Xenopus tropicalis: one gene and its partner. The protein of the gene in region 1 purifies or fractionates together with the protein of each later gene. This does not show direct contact. Links are inferred from orthologs where the notes say so. Each region holds a gene or a part of one and is shown on either strand. Other genes may lie near its edges. The genes, in order: inpp5k and gart.

Evidence for each region.
Region 2: the proteins of inpp5k (region 1) and gart purify together in Homo sapiens (co-immunoprecipitation; 3 studies listed by BioGRID and IntAct, counting the BioPlex papers as one, with this or other methods). This does not show direct contact. The link is inferred for Xenopus tropicalis from reciprocal best matches to the Homo sapiens genes INPP5K and GART.

The regions. Positions count from the first base shown.
Region 1 is NC_030678.2:45,869,572-45,880,459, reverse strand, and holds part of inpp5k (inositol polyphosphate 5-phosphatase K), read right to left. Parts: intron 9,736-10,888; coding exon 9,560-9,735; intron 8,725-9,559; coding exon 8,613-8,724; intron 6,513-8,612; coding exon 6,403-6,512; intron 4,759-6,402; coding exon 4,566-4,758; intron 2,607-4,565; coding exon 2,469-2,606; intron 1-2,468. UniProt on the Homo sapiens protein: Inositol 5-phosphatase which acts on inositol 1,4,5-trisphosphate, inositol 1,3,4,5-tetrakisphosphate, phosphatidylinositol 4,5-bisphosphate and phosphatidylinositol 3,4,5-trisphosphate.
Region 2 is NC_030678.2:13,995,247-14,006,134, reverse strand, and holds part of gart (trifunctional purine biosynthetic protein adenosine-3), read left to right. Parts: intron 1-3,093; coding exon 3,094-3,189; intron 3,190-3,272; coding exon 3,273-3,447; intron 3,448-3,850; coding exon 3,851-3,962; intron 3,963-4,843; coding exon 4,844-4,912; intron 4,913-5,281; coding exon 5,282-5,407; intron 5,408-5,650; coding exon 5,651-5,738; intron 5,739-6,111; coding exon 6,112-6,197; intron 6,198-6,431; coding exon 6,432-6,600; intron 6,601-7,506; coding exon 7,507-7,738; intron 7,739-9,816; coding exon 9,817-9,911; intron 9,912-10,888. UniProt on the Homo sapiens protein: Trifunctional enzyme that catalyzes three distinct reactions as part of the 'de novo' inosine monophosphate biosynthetic pathway.

The DNA of each region.
Region 1 (10,888 bases):
AAAACAGAAGTCATCTGAGAACTCTATTAAAGGTATGGGACCCAATATCCAGAATGGTTGGGACCTGGGGTTTTCCAGATAAGGGGTCTTTCTGTAATTTGGATCTCCTTAACTTATGTCTTCTAAACAATCATTTAAACATAGATAAACCCAAAATGATAATTTTACCTTAGTTGGGATCAAGTACAGGATACTGTTTTATTATTACAGAGAAAAAGGAAATCAATTGAAAAAAAATTGAATTATTTGATTAAAATGGACCTTATGGAAAATGGTCTTCCTGTAATTCAGAGCTTTCAGGATTCCAGATAACGGATCCCATACCTGTACCTGTATTAAAGTACTTGACCTTGTTATGGAACTCATCAGTGACTTGTAATTCACTCAATCTATTTTACAGTAGAAGTTTGGTAGATGTATTATTCTTTATTATTTCAGTTTATTTCTGATAATAGAGGTGGGCTATCATATGCATTACATATTATTGCATTATCCCATATTTGATGACAGAATTTCATTACTGCTGTATATAGGTTAAAACATGAGAAAGATAACAAATTGTTTTGACAAGATCAATGTTATTCTTGTATTATATGAAATATGAGTTTGGATCGCATTATAAATATCTTTTAAAAGCTAAAAGTGGAAAGAACTAACATATCTTATCTGGGAAAAGACAATTCAAGGAACTGCACTTTCTGGAATATGCCGTGCACTATGGTGAAATGCAAAAATGCTAAGTATTTAAGGGAAGGAGCATTGCTATCTAATAACTGGTTTCCTGCCCTGTGAGATAACAAATCATTATGGCAGTTCGATATTCTCTGTTTGGGTTATATTTAGTGTGTGGGAATGCTGCAGCATGATTACAATCTGTTCAGTCAGTATCAGTCATAAAAAAGTCACTTAGGAGCTGATTTACTAACATTTGGAAAATCCTTTAACAAAACAATCTTTTTCAGTGCTGTCACTGTGATAAAAGAATAATTGAGAGCATAGTGGTTCCACTGAACTTTTACGGTAAGGCTCCAGAAGGCAGATTCGCTGGTACGCTTAAAAATTCTTCTTGTTGTGCCTGTACCCAGAAGCACTGAATGTGCTCGGGTGCAGGCACGCAGCCAAACTCCATCAACTAACGCAGGCGGATAGCGGCTACATGTGCCTGCACCTGGGCGGATTCAGTATTTCCGGGTGCAGAAACAATTAGAAGATTTTTCAAGCATACAGGCGCACTGTCAGCCTGCTCTTATACACAGGCTGACAATTCCTTGTGGCACCCTATCCTTATTCTCTACATACTTGTAGATATAATTGGGAGCTATGGACCTAAGAATTGGCTTTCTTTAAACTTCAAGTAACACAGAAGCTTTGTAGTTTTCTACATACTTACATTAACAAAAGCTGGTTGCACATTGCTGAGGTAGCCAAATGACAAAATCTTTCCCAGATTTACCCATCTTGACCAAGGGCCAAACAATTAACTAACCTGCCTGATCAATATCTAGCTGACTTTTGGCCAGATTTTAGTCGAGCAGGCCCATCAGAGGACTTCATACAAGGGCAGATAATCTGACAACTCAGTCCGAAGGGGCTGAATCAACAATTTAAATCTGTCACCTTAAAGGAGAAGAAAGTCATTTTGGCATTTTGCTGCCAAAAGATTCACCAAATCAGTGCCACCTAGAACACTATATTTATTATTCAGAAAGCTTTACCATACCCGAGTAAAGAGCCCTAGAAGCTTTCTCTGTTTGCTTAAGATTGCAACTGCCATTTTAGCTTGGTCTTTATAGCTTCCTGCTGTATAGCTCAAGCCATTATAGCTCAGATCACATATTTTAAGGGAGGGGGGAGGGAGTTCTCAGAAGAGAACTAGGCAGACTCTGGCCACAGTAATGAAGGATTTATCTGAGAGAGGAAGTCAGATACCCAAAGAACATGTTTACAAAAAAGGAGAAAAGAAAATGTATGTTTCTTTCGATAGAGTGCAGCATTTCTGTGAGTGCTTATGGCTGTATTTACATAGACCTTTCTGATAAAGCTTACTTAGTTTTCAACTTTCCTTCTCCTTTAGGATCAATTTATTAATTGGATTTAAATGCAGGTTTATATTTATACAGTATTTTCCATAAAGATACACCTATAAAGGCAATGTCGCTGGTTTTGCCATGTAATGAATAATAGCTCCAAGGGCAGGGAAACCTGAAATAGCTCCCCATTTACAAACATTGAGTTTGGTATTTGTGATAAAGGGACGGTTCATCCCCCTGAAAAATTATTCCCATCTGTCTGTGGCTCTAATAAACACTCTAATTGCCTGTTTTACTAAAAATATTATGTGCATTCTCAGTTGCAACATGTGAGGCTGTTATGAGATCTATAGGTTTCCTAGGGCACCAGCAGCACCACAGGTGCTAAGCAAGGAAATGACAGTAATTCAATGCATGTGAGAAAGCAGGAAAACATACCCTATAAAGTCCAATCCAATCCCAGGTGCTGCTGGGAAAGTCTTTTGCCACAGAATAGCTTATTAAGGAATCATGGTCTGCGTTCCATTCTCCTTCGGGTTTCAGTGTAACAGAAGGTGAAAGAATGAGGGGCTTCAACTATAGAAACAAACAAAACTTGAATTGAGGCTGTTAGTGATCTGTAAAAAATTACCGAGTTATAGGGGCAGCTCACCCTTACAGAACTTGTTTTCAAAGAGTACATGACAAATAACAGCCTTTTTTCAGTTCACTTTCTATTTATTTTGAATGTAGTTTAAAGGAGAAGGAAAGGCTAAGTCACTTGGGGGTGCCAAAATGTTAGGCACCCCCAAGTGACTTAAATCGCTTACCTTGTACCCCGGGTAGCTGCGAGCAATTCCTTCTTCATGTTTTGCGTGCTTGCGCATGCGCAGTAGAGTGAAATGCTGAACTTTAACAAGAAATTTGGCTTTTCACTCTACTGCGCATGCGCCGGCCCAGGAGTTTCACCGGCAGGAGGAAGCGCTCGCTACAGGTACCCCGGGCTGGTGCTGTTTTCTCCTAATAGGGGTGCCAGCCCGGGGTACAAAGTAAGCGATTTAAGTCACTTGGGGTGCCTAACATTTTGGCACCCCCAAGTGACTTAGCCTTTCCTTCTCCTTTAATGTAAACTCAAATTAATTCACTTCCCTTTCATAGAAACTCTGTAACCTATATGACGACTTTATAATCAGTTAAAATTTTATTCTTTATTCCAGCGCTGCCCAATGTAGTGGGCAAATTAGATTTTTGCGTGAGGGTCAGATTATATTAATATGGGGATGTCAAACAGGGACAATAACAATACCTTGGAGGACCTCTAGTTGCACAGCCCTGCATTTAATACATTTCAAAGCAATATAAGAGATATGCCAGCAACTAGTGTATCAAACAGTGACAGTTGTGACATAACGCAGGCTAAATACGGAGTGAAGCTGCAGCTGCCAAAACATGTATCAACAGTGGTGTAACTACATAAACAGCAGACCCTGTGGGTGGAGGGACTGTTCACGCCAGGCCCCCTCCAAAGATTTTTTTTGTGGGGGGCCTGGCCCTGTCAACTAGCATATCAAATTGTAGCAGGGTTAGACAGCGTTCTAGCTTACTGAGCAACATTAGAGGGCTGGAGGGTATAAACCAAATTCATTTTTTAATCTGTAACTTTTACAAAAAAACAGGAAAATAGAAAGCAATTGCAAATAGTTATTATTTGCACTGTACTATTTGAAAAAGATACGTTTTGAGAATGTGAACCTAAATACTATGTTAAATGCAGTCAATGTAACCATGAAGGAAACAAAAGGTGGGGCTAGCTATAAGCACAGGTACATTTCCCTACGTATAATGTGGCAATACATACCTCGAATCTTGTTAGTTGATTGTTTATATTAGAGAACAAAAATCCTGTTAAGAGTACAGAGCACACACACACGTAACACTGGCAATATCTGTATCAGAGTTAATATTTAAAGAAGAACTAAACCCCAAGAACGAGAAATGCACAGGAGTTCCAAATACTAGATTATGCTAGCAGTGTCAGTGACACTCACATGCTCAGTGTGCTCTGGGCAGCTGTTGAGAAGCTAAACTTAGGGATTGTTGCGAATTATTAAGAAGATAAAATTAAGTTGGCCAATAATATAAGATGATGCTACAGGGCTGATTATTGAATTCTGATGTTAATTGCACTTAGCTGCCATGTAATGAGAATCTGAATTAAAGACTAATCAGCCTTGTACTGGATATATAGAACACAAAGTCACAATACAGTACATTTTGAGCCGGTCCCTAAACTCAGGTAACTGACAGCATAATTGAGCATGTGCAGTGAATCAGCAGAAAAGAAGATGGGGTGCCACTGGGGGCACAGATCATCACTGCTAAAGGGCTGCGATTGCCTGGCACAGAACCCTAAAACATAATGTTCAAATTTCTACCCTACTTTTTTTGTTAAGCATCAGTTCCCCTTTGAACTAAACAAAGTATGGTAATTTCTTTTTATTAAATAAATTCTATGAATATTTTCTTTTCGAGGTCAATGAGCACTATGCAGTGTACCTGCAGGGTGAAGGTCCCAGTTACTGGTTTGTGGTCACTGATCCCATAACTCATGTGACTTGTGTATTTATCCAAACGGACTTTTAAAAACTGTTCAAAGTCCAAACCGGTTGTTTCACCAGGATCACTGTCCGAAACATCCTTCAACTTCCAAAGAATGCGATCTGTCCATGCAGGTTTACGTTTCTTGCTGCTACAATGTTGAACAAAAACACAGCAATTGGCATGGAAAATAAGCCAGCACTATGTGGTGCTATGCTGCACTTCCTACATTCTAGGTGATGGATTATTTTAAGCGTTCCACGTGTTTTACAGCCAGAAACATTAGGGAGGGTGTTAATCATGTTCAACAAAGAAGCAATTTCAATTCAAACAGACTTTAAGATGGGGATACATTATAAGCAAAATATGTAACTTCATACAAAGTGTCAATACCTAAACCCCCTTCTCCTACCAAGCCTATAACTTATTTCCCTCTCTGCTTAACCTTTGGCTTTTAGTCTTCTCCACTTATCACCAATTGCTACTTCTACTTACCTATTTGCCCACTACATTACTGGTGTTTTTTTGCTAACACACTTTCCTTTGGCTTCCTACCCACTTCATTTTCTCGTTCACTAGTCACATCTGCATATCCACTTGTTTTGGTAATTTTGCTTTCCTTTACCACACATATACCATTACCAACATTCCTTTTATTTTCACCTACTGTTCACCTCCTTTTTAAGATCCCACATTGCGCTTGCAATTGACTCCAAATGTTTTTGGTGCCAACCTACTGTACTGTGCCCATATTTATTTATTGCTGTTCACCCCTCCTTAGTTAACATTTTTTCTTTCATTTAAGGATCATTTGTCTTCACCCTTCCAGCTTCTCCCCATCTTCCTTTCTCTGAAAATTATATCTGTATAGTATTATGAGATATTAGAATCTTTTAATGTTCATAAAATTCAGTAACCACCACACTGCTCTAACACCTTCCCCCTCATAATAGAACTGAAAATAAACATTAATGTTATTTTTTTTAGTTTTATAAACATCTTTGATTGGCTTATAACGCTAATGTATAGATGGAAATGGAAACTAATGAAGACAAGATTATATAGCAAGTCAAATATCTGCTGTCATGAAACAAAAAGAGTGTGTCATTTTAAATTTTATATCAAATACCCAATAAAACCATACAATAACATTTTGATAACTTTCTTCTATGCTTTTACAATATTTAGAGTTTATTTTTTGTAGCGACCACCACAAACAGGTCCCATCCACTAGAAAGCAGAGTAAAATTATCTCTTAACTCAGTTCTAAATGACTAATGCCTCTTCCCAAAAAATTAAATACGTTCATCCAAATGCTGATTCACAAATAATATGAAAAATAATAATTTGTATAGTAGTAACAAATAATAAAAGCACAGATCATGATAGCTTTCCGGCTGTATCATAAGATTATATGGGGATACCATCTATTTAGGTGTGGGTTAATATGGACAACACTCCAAATGTTTCAGTCCTGGAGATATTTAGCAAGCTGAAGTATTTCGCTCTTAGTTTGTGCATATTTGAGCCAGCAAACTAAGGCAACAGGTTTGACATGATGTTATTAGGTTTTCTAGAGAAATCATGTAGGAATACTGCATTACATTTGAGTATTTCTACTGATAACTCATTTAGTATAGTCTACTACTGGTTTTAGTTTGAGACAAGGGATATTTTTTAATCTTACTTAAGTCCAAACAGTGACTTTCTCCATCTGGAAACAAAGCAAAGAGATGAATATAAAGCACAACGGGGTGAAGGCCATACTGTCTTACATTGGGATATGTGTTTGTACCTGGTATCATATACATCAGAATTCTGGTCAAACTTATACGTGGGTTTAAACTTTAGTGGTCCTTCCAGAAATCCTTGCAGGAAAGGTTCTTTCTTCTTAGCAATATTTAACTGTTAATTGGAAGAAAAAACAAAGCACAAACCATATTAAAGAGTATTGAAATGATGTTTTGGAGGAGTTATTACATGACTGGGTACCAAATTTCAAAGAACAGGCTATAATGAATTTGCAACCATAAAGAGTTAATCTCAAGCTGCAGGCATACCTTCAGTTCTCTCAATAGTGCCCTTAAGTCTCCCCATATTTCACCTGTTCAGATGATCAGAAGCCAAACAGGAAGAAAAAACGCTGAGCTGTGTAAAGAAAGTTCCCATAATGCCTCGCTCCTGCACTGAGACCCAGACCGGTGCACATGCTCAGTTAGTTAGACTATGAGGAAGCTTCCTGCTGATTGGCTCAGATCCACATTCATAAGTGAGTTCATAGCATTCTTGAGGGAGGGGGGAGCAGGAGAGGGGAGAGAGGAGAGAGCTGCGTGTCTCTGGCACAGGAAACCAGACACAACAAATCTTTTGACAGAGAACTCTATGTTTCTTTCGATAAAGTGCAGCGTTTCTTTGAGTGCTTATGGCTGTACTTACATAGACCTTTCTAATAAAGCACCACAGATGCATTTAAAGGAGTGTGCATTCCACATTCAGACCAGTAATATAAAAGCATAAACATAATTCTCATCTCTACAAATACAATGCTCTCCAATTTGAACTCAAACCTTATGTGTATGCTGCAAAATACAGAGTCATTAGTAATTTCTTAATTAAAGGGGTTGTTCACCTTCAATGTCCAAATTTTATTAACAATGCACTCAGCGTGTAAAAACAAGTAAAGGCCACTGTAAAAACTACTTTTATACCTGTTAAATCAGTCCTTTTCTGTCTCTCTGATCAGTTTTTGTAAGGGATGGGAATGGCCTATTTTGAACCTGGCACACTAAGAACTTCCTATATGCTTACAACATCACATTCAGGCTTTGCCATTACTTTTTTCCTTCTGGACCAATTCACTGGCTACTTGTGCACTCTAACCAGTTGCATAAATTGAAAAGTCATTGGTTGCAAAGGCATAGGCAAACAGACTCAGCATATCACAAATCTAATATAATGTTATGTTAGGTTTGCAGTACTCAGTACAAATTAAGTCTGCTGCCAGTACTATGCGTAACATCAGGAAGAAAAACAAGCGGCTGTAGTGTTTAGGGGTTCACTGCCCCTCCCCACAACCCTCCAGCACAGGGTCTGTGCAGAATTGACGGATCAGCAGAAGGATGATTCTGAGGTGAATATCTCTTCAGCTGCACATTTTTTGTTAACTGTGTATAAAGCAAAGATGGCTCTATTAATGTTAAATTTGTGAATGTACTACAAAGGTGAATAACTCCTTTAATTAACAAATGTCTTTCTCCATGGGACCATATTTATTGAAAATTTGCCACAACAATAACAATTTACTAAAAGGAGAGCACACATGAGTATGAGAAGTAACTTCACATTGGTGAAAATTCTATTCACATACACAATTTTTTTTTTTATTTACAACTGATGCAATTTTTAAATTTTTCTCAAATATAAGTTTGTTGGGTTCAATTCAACTTATTTATAATATTGTTAAGAAGATTAGGCTACTGCCACACCATGCCGAAAAACGCTTGCCGAAAATATGCGCCATAAGCTCCTACCTGTGCCTGCACCCGAATGAATGGAATAAAGTCAGGTGCAGGCACATGTAGCCGAAATATGCATAAAAAACGCAACACTTTGCATTGCGTTTTGATGTGGATTTCAGCTATATGTGCCTGCACCCAAGCGTATTCCATACATTCGGGTGCAGGCACAGGTAGGAGCATATGGCGCAAATTTTCGGCAAGCGTTTTTCGGCTTGCCCAAAATATACGCCATACACATGGTGTGGCAGTAGCCTTAGAGAGCTGAAAATGATTTTCCTACTGAGGCACAGTATCCCATTTTGTGTGTATGACTATACTTTTGTTTATACTGTTGTGTGACAATAAATGCACATTTATAAAAACAAAGTTTCTTAATTGAAACTGAGCTTATTACACAAAAAGAATTAGGAAGTCGACACAAAAAATTAAGCATGATTAAATGCTAGACACCAGTGAAATTAGACGAGCGGTCTGTAAGTTAGCATACCTGGTCTTTCTCCCACAGCAGGTTGTATTTATTACTGTTTATCGCTTCTCTAATAAAGTGGATCCCAAAGTCTGTAATCCGGAAGTTTAGGTCTCCAAAGCAAAACACGAGACTTTAGAGTAACATAAACAAACATAAATGCCATTAGAATTTGCCCCTGTCCAAGAAGCACTTCTCATCGTTGGAAATAACATATTGATACAGTTAATACATCTAGGGCTTAGTAATACACAAACGCTATCACAAAAAATACATTTTTTTAAAAAGTTGCTAGTGGGATAGAAAGATGCCTAAGCCTATACTAAAACCGCATTACTGGAGAAACCACAATTTACAACAAATCAGCCCCAAGTTTATTAAAGGGGACCTGTCACCCAGACATAAAAAGCTGTATAATTAAAATCCTTTTCAAATTAAACATAAAACCCAAAATTTTTTTTGTATTACAACATTTATACCTGTTATAAAATGATTTAAAAATCTGTCAATCACATATTACTTGCCCACCTCTATGCTTTGTGTAGGGCAGGCAGTTACTTTCATTTTCTATTCAGCACTTCCTAGATGTCACTACACTCCTCTTATTGCCCCTCCCTCTACACTGTCTATACTTGTGTAGCCTGTGCATGAACATCAGGTGCTGCATTCTGGTGCATAAACAAGATTTTTAGATAATCTAAAGGCTGCTTGCTGTAATTGCGATTTTCAAGACTGAAAGAAACAAAGTTTATATATTTTACATAGTGTAGGTAAAGTTCATTTTGCCCGACTAGCACAATAGAAAAGAACTTGGAATTATCTCTTATGGTGACAGGTCCCTTTTAACCCAGTGCTTTCTATTTCAAACAGCAGATTAATAAAAGTTCCCTGTTGATTGGTTGCTATAGGTTACTAGACCTGGAGAACACACTGCACTTAACTTTATTCATTTCTTTACCAGAACTTACTCATGGTCTAGAATATTTCCAGTATTATCGTCATCAAATTGCTGAGTGTCCAGCATCCTTTCAAAATCATCGAGCCTCTGGTTGGTGTTTTCCATGTGTGCTGGCAAATGGCAGTTCATGAAGCAAACCATGTGCCCATACACCGACATACGGACTATAACGCCCCCTTTGTTTCCCTTTCATGGGAGAAAGCAGAGTATGAAAGATGTATGCCTTCTTTATGTTAAAATAAAATATTGACACTGAAAATTTTATTCAAACAAGCAAAATTTTTAACTGTCAATATTTTTGCCTAATGAAGCCCTTTTAAGGGAGAAATGTATAGCAGCAACGTATATTACATAAAAGACACTTTAACTATTATAAGAAACACTGCACAATCTCCAAAAATCTCTAACAATCTCCAGTACACCAACTAGTGAGTCACTTTGGTGAAACACACAGAAAGGAAGAGGCGGAATGCATCTTTAAGTGGGGAGAGAGCTGAGATCCAGCATAGTGGGGATTAGGGGTGACTAGGAGGAGCGGTCTATTGCTACAACAGGACTGCCACTGTGGTGAGACCGTTGATTGCTTGGGACAAACATAAGGGAGAGGGTTGGCACTTGAATAAGGTGCCACAATAGCCAATGTGCAGGGCTCGTTGTGGGTGGACATTGTAAGTCGGGGGGGCTGCCATTCCCAAGTAGTGCTTGTTACCCCCCTCTGATTGTTTATTTCTCTCTCTGCTCGCCCCCTCCTCTGATCGTTCACCTTTCTCTGCTTGCCCCCCCCCTCTGATTGTTCATCTCTCTCTGCTCGTTTCCCCCTCTCTCTGATCATTTATATCTCTCTGCTTGTTCCCCACCCCCTCTGATCTATTGCTTTATGCATTTAAAGTATATTGTTTTAGCTTACTGATCTGGCAGCAGCACCACCAAAATTATGTAGTTAGGGAACAGAGACAGAGGGAGGCAATTGGGAGGGGCTTCCCCTGCTACTGCTGAGTTCAGCCTGTCAATCAGTGCTGTGACCACTTCCTGTGGTCACAGGAGGTAAAATGCTTTCAAAACATAGTCAATTTTTCTGCATCATTACACATTTTAAAGGGAGGATGAATAAGTATAACTGAATATGAATATTATATAAAATGTCTCCTTTAAGTACTAACAAAACATGCACTTCCGCCCCCTTCTTTCCCTGCTCGTTATCAGGAGAGGGGTGGGAGAAGGCAGTTCTTCACTGCTATAGAGAAAGCAGACCCAGTAGTCTGAGCCCCACTGCTCCCCCGCAGGGTCTGCTTCCTCTACAGTTATGCCACCGACTAGTTATGACTACTGCTCTGTGTGT
Region 2 (10,888 bases), about 32 Mb from region 1:
GATTAGAACTACTGGCTGGCTGGCTTAAGGCGGGTGTCTTGACCACTCGGCTACGCTTGCTCCTCCCGCTTGTAGGATGTTTCTTTCGTCCTCTTGTCAGCGTCATATTGGCGGTTGGCCTATCCTAACCGACTGAATGAAACATTCAGGGTTAAAGCCTGCCCCTTGCACCAACACCTATATAACTAGGGGGATGAATCCTCCATTTATCAACATTCTCTGAGAAAGCTGATAAGTGAGCCTCAATGTCTTTAACTTTAGGGTTACAAAAGATGCTGAATAATGTAGTTAGCTTAAGGGTCATATTGAGATCTCTGGGTGAAAATGCTGCTCAGTTTTCCACGTGCCATCATGCAAAAAGAATAAAGCATTATGTTTAATTAGCACAGTATGAGCTAGTGTAGTATAGTATAACTGGGGGAGGGAAGATATGGCCATGCTAAGTAATTCAAGGTGGCACTCTAAAAAGGAGGTCTTCTAATATATTTGTAAAGGACGTGTCAACCCCGACAAATAATTTTTGCTTAATAAAAGAAAACATAATTCCAAGCAACTTTCCAATGTGAATTTATTAAAAATGATTAGTGCTTTAAAAGTTATTTGGAAATGTAATTGCTATAGTAAGCAGCGTTGGAAATCAGTGTAGTCTGCAACATACTCAATACTGGGCCCGTTGTCTAGACAAAACAGCTAAATGGTTAGTGTACCCCCCTGCTGAACTATATACTGGCTGAAGAGTTACTGATAATGCATAGAAGTAGGCTGAATCTCCTGTACCATATACCAGCAGGGGATAACAGATAGTGCTCACAGCTGTAATCTCCTGTATTCTATACCAGCTGGGCACTATTATACGGCTCAGAGAATATCTCCATTACTCTCCTATCAGCTCCCCAGTGTAAATTCTTTCCATATATCCTAATCAAATTCCCAAAATTGGGACTGGATTTAATGGCACTGACAGATTTACCAAGAGCCAAAGGCAAATTCATAAAAATATGTCGGTAAAATGACTGAAAAATCTGAAAACTGTCTGTTTAAAAGACAAATTCCCAAAAGTGGAGACATAGGTTTGTGAATTAGGTGGTAAATCCAACAAATCTATCTCCACTTTTATTTTGTCTTAATATCATCACTTTTGTGAATTCCCCCCAATGAGTAGTAAGAGCCCTAGTACAGAAAGAAATTAAGGTTGCCTTGCCATCCTGCAAGAAACAGGCCTGGCCGCACTACTGATCATGACTCCTATTTCTAATGGAGACTTTAATGTCACTGGTATAAATAGCCTTGTGGTTAGGAAGTAACTTGGGCAGGGTTTGCCCCTCTGGTAACGACATTATTTTATATTTCTTTATTCTGAAGCACTCGGCAGGTGCAAACTAACTGCTTATTGGTTACTGGAAATTTTACCCATGTTACTGCATAATACCTAATCGTTAGTTGCTGGATATAGATGTAAAATCTGTTTCTGTTTACTGTAATAGTAATTAGCCCCCTGATTATGATAAAGATTATATAGGGTACCAATAGGAGCAGACCAACGTTTTTGGCTGGGGCTGCATGTTGAGTGCTCCGTGCAGCTGTAATTATTGCCTGCAGTCATGATGCATTTAGTATTTGGTGGCATTGCTTTCCAAATCCTCACCAGAACTGCTGGTATTTATTTATTCATTCATTCAGTTTCCCTACATGCAGCAGAACTGGACATGGAGTCCCACTAAACACTGGCACGGGGCAAGCAGAAGTAAAGCGGCTGAGCTCTTTTTGTTGCCCTGACTGTAGCCATTTGTAGCATTATGGATGTCAAATGCAACCTCTGCCTAAAGCTGGCTGATCTTGTTTAGCAAGGTTTCAAAACGAGCAGATCTTTTTCCTGATGTGGGCAATATCGGGCTTAATTGGATCATAATGACAGAGATACAGGCCATAGGGGAGAGGACAAAGTTAATGAGCCAATGTGTTCCTCAGTCCAGTGGAAAAATTAACCTGCCCGATTGTTGGCCAGATATCAGTTAGTTAGTCCCAACTGTAGGGCCCCATAAAAGGGCAGATAACTTTATAGTTAGCTTGGGAGGAGAGCCCTTCAGATCACACCAAGGGCCCCTTAAAGTCACACTTCTGGCGGGCCTTGGACACCCCAGTCCAACCCTGCTGTCTGATTAGACAGCTCAGTAATTGTATCCCTGTTCATCCATTTGCAATGATAATACTATTAATAACCATAATATTTATCATGTGCCACATATTCCACAGGAGAGTGTTTATACATCAAACATAAATACAAATTCTGATCATGTGGAGAGCACCTAATTTTAGGTTAGTTAATTGTAGCTGGAAACCGAACGCAGATGTGTTTTCTTTTGAATTAGAAATTCCATAAGAACAATGACTTTATCTGTAGTGAGCTTTTGCTCTCACTCACACCCTTAGTCCTCCTACTGCCACTTCCTTAGTAATATTCACCAATTACCGTGCATCCTCATTGGCAATTGGGTCCATGTCAGGAGCCCGAAGTGCTGATCACAAGTTCATTCATAAGTTGTCTTGTGACACCAGTTCCGACTGCACCGACATTTATAATGTGCAGCCCTAAGCAGAGCTTTCTATGGGGAGGGGGCAGGAAGGATGGGTGCTGAGGGATAGCAAGTAGTACCTATTTGATAAGCTATTAGTGCAACTGGAGACAACTTTTGTTGAATGGCTGTTACCCCAATGTTTCTATATATCTGTAACCTTGTTATGGGCTAAGGGGGCCCAGCCTGAAGGCCAGTTAGAGGGAGATTTGGGGTGAGTGCTTATTTGTGCCCTGGGTACCCCTGGAACTATAGCAGGGTGACTGTTACCCCAATGTTTCTATATATCTGTAACCTTGTTATGGGCTAAGGGGGCCCAGCCTGAAGGCCAGTTAGGGGGAGATTTGGGGTGAGTGCCCTGCCTAGAGGGGACAGTTAGTTCTGTTGCATTAGAGATTAAAGTGACTTTGTTCATATTGCCGTATGTTCAGACAGGAGTCGGTTCTCAATCAGTGGGCATCATGTTAAAATAACTTGCTGATTGCGGAGCTTTCTGATTCTTTTTTCTCTTCCGTTACAGCTGCCCCAGTCAGTGACCATGCCAAGCTCGCCCAGTTCTGCAAAGATAACCATGTTGGCCTAGTGGTTGTTGGTCCAGAAGCTCCTCTTGCAGCAGGTAAATTACATGCCCAAATTATCACCTTCACCCTTCGGAGAGTAATTTAAGCCTTCATCCCCTTTGTTTCTCTCTCTCCCCAGGGATTATCGATGATTTGACTGCAGCCGGAGTGAGGTGTTTCGGTCCTACAGCCAAGGCGGCACAGCTTGAGGCCAGTAAGAGTTTTTCCAAAGAATTTATGGACCGACACAACATCCCAACTGCCCGCTGGAAATCATTCACTGACCCCAAGGAAGCCTGCAGCTTTATTATGAGGTACATTATGGATAACTGTGTTCTGTGAGGGTGCCCAAACTGTTCAGAGCATAGCATGTATATAATAAGTTTCAAATTACTGCTAATAATGGTAAGCTTGGTGCCTTTGCAAAACTGTGTGTTTGTGCTTGGGTCATGGATGTGTATTGGAAGCCATTCCTCATCTATAAAGAGAAGATGTGAGCAGATTTTGCCTACTGGGCCATAGCATGCAAAAGGCAATGGCTGCTCAGTTTTTTCCTTCATACAGTCAGAAGGGGCTTTTGTTCTATTAAATTAAAAAGGAACCAGGTTTCTCACTATGAAACTAAGGCCATCAACTATTGTCTGCTCCTAAAGTGGTCTAGCTTCTAATCTACACACTTCTGATGTATTTAATACATCTCATATCTTGTCTTTGTAGTGCTGATTTCCCTGCATTGGTAGTCAAAGCGAGTGGCTTGGCAGCGGGCAAGGGAGTGATTGTGGCCAGCAGTAAGGAAGAGGCTTGCAAAGCTGTGAATGAGATCATGCAGGTGAGTTATATAATAGGCCAATGGGAATATGGCCTGTACCCATTGGACCTGCAACTCGCAACATTCCAAAAACGCCATTGGAACGATGTGGGATTGGACTTCAGTAATTTTAAGTTAACTTGTAGCATGTTATAGAATGGCCAATTCTAAGCAACTTTTTATTTGCTCTTCAGTATTTTTTTTTTTTTTTTTATAGTTTTTAAATTATTTGCCGCCTTCTTCCAACTCATTGCAGCTTTCAAATGACCCCAGCAGCCAAAAACTATTGCTCTGTGAGGCTACAGTGTTATTGTTAATCTTTATAACTAATTTTTATATCCAGGCCCCTTCCTATTTATATACCAATCTCTCATTTAGACCGCTCCCTGGTTACTAAGGTAATTTGAACTCAAGCAACCAGATAGCCGCCTAAACTTCAAACTGGAGAGCTGCTAAACAAAAAGTGAAATAATTAAACTAAAAATAATAAAGAAATGAAGGCCAATTGAAAATTGTCTCAGAATTTTACTCTCTACATCATACTCAAAGGGGAACAACTATTGGTCACTATTCTAAGGCCAATCACTGGTGCCAGCATTGGTGATATTGTGAAGGTCACAGCCTGCTGGGAATTTTCTATGTCCTAGTCACTGCAGTTTTGTACTTTACAATGTATTTTTGTAAACTAGATAAGATAATGAATATGGAACAACAGCACCACATGTTGTTCAGTTTGGTAAAGTTGGCAGAAAATTAAGTTAGCCAGCAGAGGAGAGTGTGAAAATACAGTTTGTTAGTCAGATCTAAGCAGAGTAAAAGCACAATCGAGAGATGGTGACACATGCTGTTCAATAAATGTGCAATTGCCCATAAACCCAATTCCTTTGTATTCTCCATCACAGGACAAGGCATTTGGAGAAGCTGGAGACACAGTGGTTGTGGAAGAGCTGCTGGAAGGGGAAGAAGTCTCTGTAGGTTGATGGTTTTTGTCATTTGTGCTGATATGTATTCTGTTTAGGTTGTTTTTTCTGCACTTTTCACTTATCAGCTAATGAAAAAGGCAGCTTCCATTTATGCCCCAGCCAGGGCTTCTCTTATATTATTGTTGTTTAAATATGCACTGGGTTACGGCAATGTGAGGGCAGTTGGTAAAAGAGAACTATGATAGGTCTGTAGAGTTTAGCTCTGCAGGCTGTGCCTGTGCCTTATAATTATATTAAATATGTATAAGAATGCCACCCTGCACTGCTTAGAATTATATGTTCTTTCATTATGCAATATAGTTCCCTCCGTCTTTTATACTTTTCTTGATACAATGGGATATTGTTTTTCTTTTGCAGTGTTTGTGTTTCACAGATGGAGTCACAGTTGCTCCAATGCCACCAGCTCAAGATCATAAAAGACTGTTGGATGGTGACCTTGGCCCTAACACGGGTGGAATGGGAGCCTATTGTCCAGCTCCGCAGGTAAGTGGTAAATGATGTTATACTCATTGGTCAGTTTGTTGTTCTGTCCAGCCCTCAAAGAGGAAATAAGCACTCATCCCAGTTTTCCTTAAGGCTCTACTTATAGGACTTAATATCCTACTGCAGGCTGAGGCCTCGTCCTGTATTGGATCCCACCATGGAGGCTAGCCCCACAGTTTGGGACCCACAAACGCCTTTCTCTGCTTACACCAATACCGTACAACAAGAATATTTATCTTTTAGATTACAAAAGATTTTCTGGAGAAAATCCAAGACACTGTCTTGTTGAAAACCGTTAATGGAATCCGTCAGGATGGTGCACCGTATGTCGGTAAGTGTTTGTGCAACTGAAATAGTGCCATGAGTTGCAATTGGCTGTCATGGAGTTTATAAAGAAATGCTGATTGCTTGTTAAGTAGGCAGTGCTTATATGTACATTTTCTGCAAAATGAATTGGCCAACGATTATATATAACATCAACAGGTTTTTCCTGTTTAAATGCATACTGCTTCCCTTGACAATAAGATATTATTAGCCCTTGGTATAAATGGGAACTCATTTGTTGACAATCTGGAAGTGATAGTGAAAGTGTGATAGGAAACAAGTAGTTACACACAGATGATATCCCTTATTATCCTTACAGTATAATACAATTGCCAGTTTGCAAGCAGTATGACAGCACTGGGATTATTTATTCTTTCCAGGTGTGCTCTATGCCGGCCTGATGCTCACTATGGATGGCCCCAAGGTACTTGAGTTTAACTGCAGATTTGGAGACCCAGAATGCCAGGTAATTATTAAACAGTTCTATTTCTTTTAAGTATTTACAATGTGTACAATCAGGAGAGCCTATCCAGCCTCTCCTTGCTGGTCTCTCAATATATATGGAAGCCAGATCCTTAACCCCCCTCCATCCATTACCCACTGTGCTCTCTGATAAGGAGCCTCTTCCTGTGTTCCTGTTTCTTGCCAGTATTACTTTATTCATGTTCTAATTTTTTCTTTTTTTTCTTTTTTAATTCAGGTGATTCTCCCACTCCTACAGAGTGACCTTTATGATGTTATTGTGGCCACTATTGATGGCAAACTGGCCAGTTGTATGCCAGTGTGGCTAGAAAACCACGCAGCTGTTACAGTTGTTATGGCCAGTGGAGGCTATCCCTCTAACTATGCCAAGGGGTTGGAGATCACTGGTGAGTCTTAGATAAGTGTCGTCTGTCAGCTCTGGGCTGGGATACAAAATAGGCCAATGCATTTTAAGTACACAGAGGCCCAAACAGCCCCCCCACAGGCCCATTAAATAGTGAGTGTCTATGGCATCTTACAGCAGCCCCTCTGGCGTTTGCCAGAACCCACAGATTGGCAGTCAGGGCCTGACTCTTATTGTAACTAATAAAAAGCCATTACAACATTTATTATGTTCCATTCTGAACTGAGCTGTAGATACTAATTATCTAATCAGATACTGACTGTGCATGTTATTGTAACAACCCTATAAGCGCATTAGAAGGTGCAAAAGATAATTTAGGGTTGCTCCTTATGCTCCATAGAACGCATGTTAAACAGTGATTGGTGAAGAAGGTACAGTACTTGGCAATGCTGGGAATCTATTCAGCCCCCTGCTACCTCTTTTTCCCTGTCTTGTCTTGTACCATAGGGGAAGGCTGTGACCTACCAGAGAGCATTTTGGTGCTGCACTCTGTCCCCGTCATATGTATTAAAAGGCAGTAAGTTTTCCCAGGAGCAGTAGCCAATAAGATGTTTGCTTTTAAATAGGTGACCAGTAAATACTTCCTGTAGATTGGTTTCTTTGGGATGCTGCTCCTGGGCAAACTTGGTGCCTTTTATTACATAACCCCTGCATATCCTTCTCTCTTTCTGGGGTTACAAAATAAAAGGCACTAAGTTTGCCCAGGAGCAGTAACCCACAGCAACCAATCAACTGGTCACCTGTTTAAAAGCAAACATACTTTTGGTTGCTATGGCTTATTGCTCCTGTGCAAACGTAGTCCCTTTTATCACCTGTGGGGGTTAAGGTCCGGTTCTAAACATTACAATTTCTTTGGAAATTAGATGAATAATCTGTGTATTTCCTGCAGGGTTCCAAAAGGCTGGAGAGCTGGGTCTGGAAGTGTTCCATGCAGGCACCGCCCTCAAGGATGGAAAAGTGGTGACCAGTGGAGGGAGAGTTCTAACTGTCACATCAATCAAGAAGGATCTTGTATCGGCTCTAGACCAGGCTAACAAGGGGGTGGCAGCGATACAGTTTCAAGGAGCTGTGTATAGAAAGGACATTGGCTTCCGGGCTATTGCTTACCTTAATCAATCCAGGTGTGTATCGGAACACTTGATCTGAGGACTGTCTGTAGCATGAACTGTGTAGCCTTTGGGTCTGAAATACAACTGGACCAGGTTAAATAGAATGAATTAAAGCACACAGAACCCACCAAGCCCATAAACCAAGTACAGGTATGGGACCTGTTATGCAGAATGCTGTCAAACTGGAGTTTTCTGGATAAAGAATATTTTTGTAATATGGATCCCCATACCTTAAATATATTAAAAATGATTGCAACATTAAATTAACCCAATAGGATTGTTTTAATTTATAAGTTGGAAGTTGGAGAAAGGAATAATTAGAATTATTTGCCATCTCTCTGGTGCTTTCTGGATAACAGGCTTCTGGATAATGGATCCCATACCTATACATACACTTTCTACTCTCTTACATTTCTTAATTGTACAAATTTAGCTTTCATGTTGCAGTAAGCTGTAGGTTATGTTAACCCCAATATGAGACAAAATAACAATAGTTAAAATCCTAATAGAGGACGTCTTTTTATAAAACCCCATTAGATAAATGGCACTATGTCCTGATTGTATGGGTTACTTATCTAATGCACGTCGTGGTATTTGTGTTTTTGGATAAATGATGACAATCCATAATCAGGCCAAAAGTAATTTCCTTATTGTTGTGACTGGCTCCTATATTTACTGTGCTGATAAATGTCCCATAATTGTTTTATTTTGTCTCCTGTTACTGGAACTGTGTGTGATTTGCTGTAACCTTGAGTCATTCAGTCTCAGCAACTCTCGTGTCTGTTACATATTTTCACCCTGCTGTGTATAAGACGATTTCTTTGTAACCAAAAAAAAATTGATTTGCTAAAAAAATGTGTAATGTGTCTTAATTTCAATTAAAGGTCAATATCTTGAAAGCCTTTTAGGAGCAGTTAGTCGCGCATGATAGCAGAGATCTATTGCGGGCAACTAACTTGCTCCGTGGGTTATTACTCTTTAATGGGGGGATTTGTCATAGTCGGGAAACACACAGTACCAGTCAGCTGTAGAACTAGTGATTTGGCTGGGCCAGTGGTGTAAATGACAGTTTCTGCCCCCCCCACCCCCAACTCTGCATTGTGTTACCACATTACCTGCCCAACTGCCCCTTTCCCGCTAATGCAAGTTTCAGCAACACTGGCACAGGCAGTTCCCTTACTGGGAACCCCTTTTTTCCCAGGCCTCCCCACACACACACACTCAATGGAGTCTGCTGGTGCCAGGTGAAGCCACTGAACAGGACTGTTTTGCTTCTCTTTATTCCCTGCCCTAGAATTGGTCATATTTCAGTCAATTCCCATCTCTAGTGGTTGCCGTCAAGCTGTAACAAGACTATGCAATAATAGGGGTAAAGTTAGGTCCAGCAGCATTTACTAACCAATCAGATGTATGCTTTCAAAGAGCAAACCAGTTAATGTTACTTGCCATTAGGTTTCTTGGGGTTACTAGAACTTAGAGACTTGCTTACATGTCCTTTACTAGGTATGTGATCTTGGTAGGTCTCAAGCATAGTAGGAAGGTCTGAATTCCTTGAATCCTTCATATCACTCACCTGCTTGTGTAATCTCTACCCCCAAGTGCCAGCAATGATTATATAGAGTACTATTCCCCTGTGTTTATAACATGGAAGATGTGTCATACCAGGCCCAGTACTGCAAATGTAATTCCTCACCAATAAATAGGGGTGACAAAGTCATGTGTAGGTAGTTGCTTGGTCACTGCTGTAGGGATGTAGCTATAGGATTTCTGCATGTTTTCTTCCCAGTCGACTTTGGGGTTCAGCACTGGGCTGCAAATGTACCCCTTGCTAATCGCAGGTTCTGCTTCAGACTTTGTAGAGCAGTGATCTGCCTTTTAGGTCACATTATATCTAAATCACATTCTATCTCTAATATGATCTATGCATATCAGATATGGGAGTTCCCCTGCTTTACTTCACATTAAATAACTCTGATATAGAGATCTAGAAATCTTTTTATTTTCCATTTCAGAACACTGCATCAGTCTTATTCATGGGGTGGGTTCACAGCACCCTCATTCTTACAATGCTCCCCTCTTTATCCTGCCAGGTCCCTGACATACAAGGATAGTGGTGTGGATATAGAAGCTGGTAACAGTTTAGTGAAAGCAATTAAACCATTGGCTGCAGCCACTGCCAGACCAGGTAAGTCTCCTAATTATTGGTGTCCTGCCTTGGTCATAGTAGGTGGGTAATCACTCACTGCTGGAGAACATTTCATAACTGTAACTATGGGATCCATATAAAAAAAAGTTATGTTGTTTTTCCTCCCTAAAGATGCCCATACATCTCCCGATATCCCCCACCTACGGGTGGGCGATATCGGGAGAATCCAGGCTAATTAGAACGACGTGCATAGGCAAAGTTGGTTCGGTGACCGCATCAACAAGCCAATGCGGTCCCCGATCCGACTAGATTTTTTAACCTGCCTGATTGATATCTGCCCGATTTCAGGCCAGATTTCGGTCGGGCAGGCCCGTCAGTAGTTCCCATACACGGGCCGATTAGCTGCCGAATCAGTCTAATAAGGGACCGATATCGGCAGCTAGAATCGATCCGTGTATAGGGACCTTTATTCTGTTACATTGCTCGGAAGGCATCAATGGAATGGTACATGTATTAATCAATGACCTTGTAGGAGTCATCCAACATTGTTAGCTGAAAAAAACTTTACTTTAGCTACTAATACCCAACCCTCGCCTGATCTGCTTGTGGGCTAAACCCTGCCCAAGGGTCAGTCAGATAAAAGTGGTTGGGGAGAAATCATGTTTTGTATTATCTGTACTGGAGTTTACTTATGATCACGTTGTGCTTTAGCGAAGGCTGCAAACTGAGTCTGGAACTGATGCAAGGGTCAGGTTTTGGTGTCCTAATTGAAGGCCCTTGGGTTAGTTGCCTAACCCTGCCTATTTGGTTCAAGCTTTTAGTATTTGGTCTGCAGCTTTTGAGCTCTGCCCCTTCTATGTGTTACAGTGTATGTAATGCCCTGCACAAAGGCATATATCCCTGTTTCAACACCAAATATATCCTGACAACACCAAATGCTCTGTGTGTGTGAAGATGGCAATGCTTTGCCAGGGGGATATTTTTTTAGTAATATGTGCTGTGCTTGGGTAACTGTT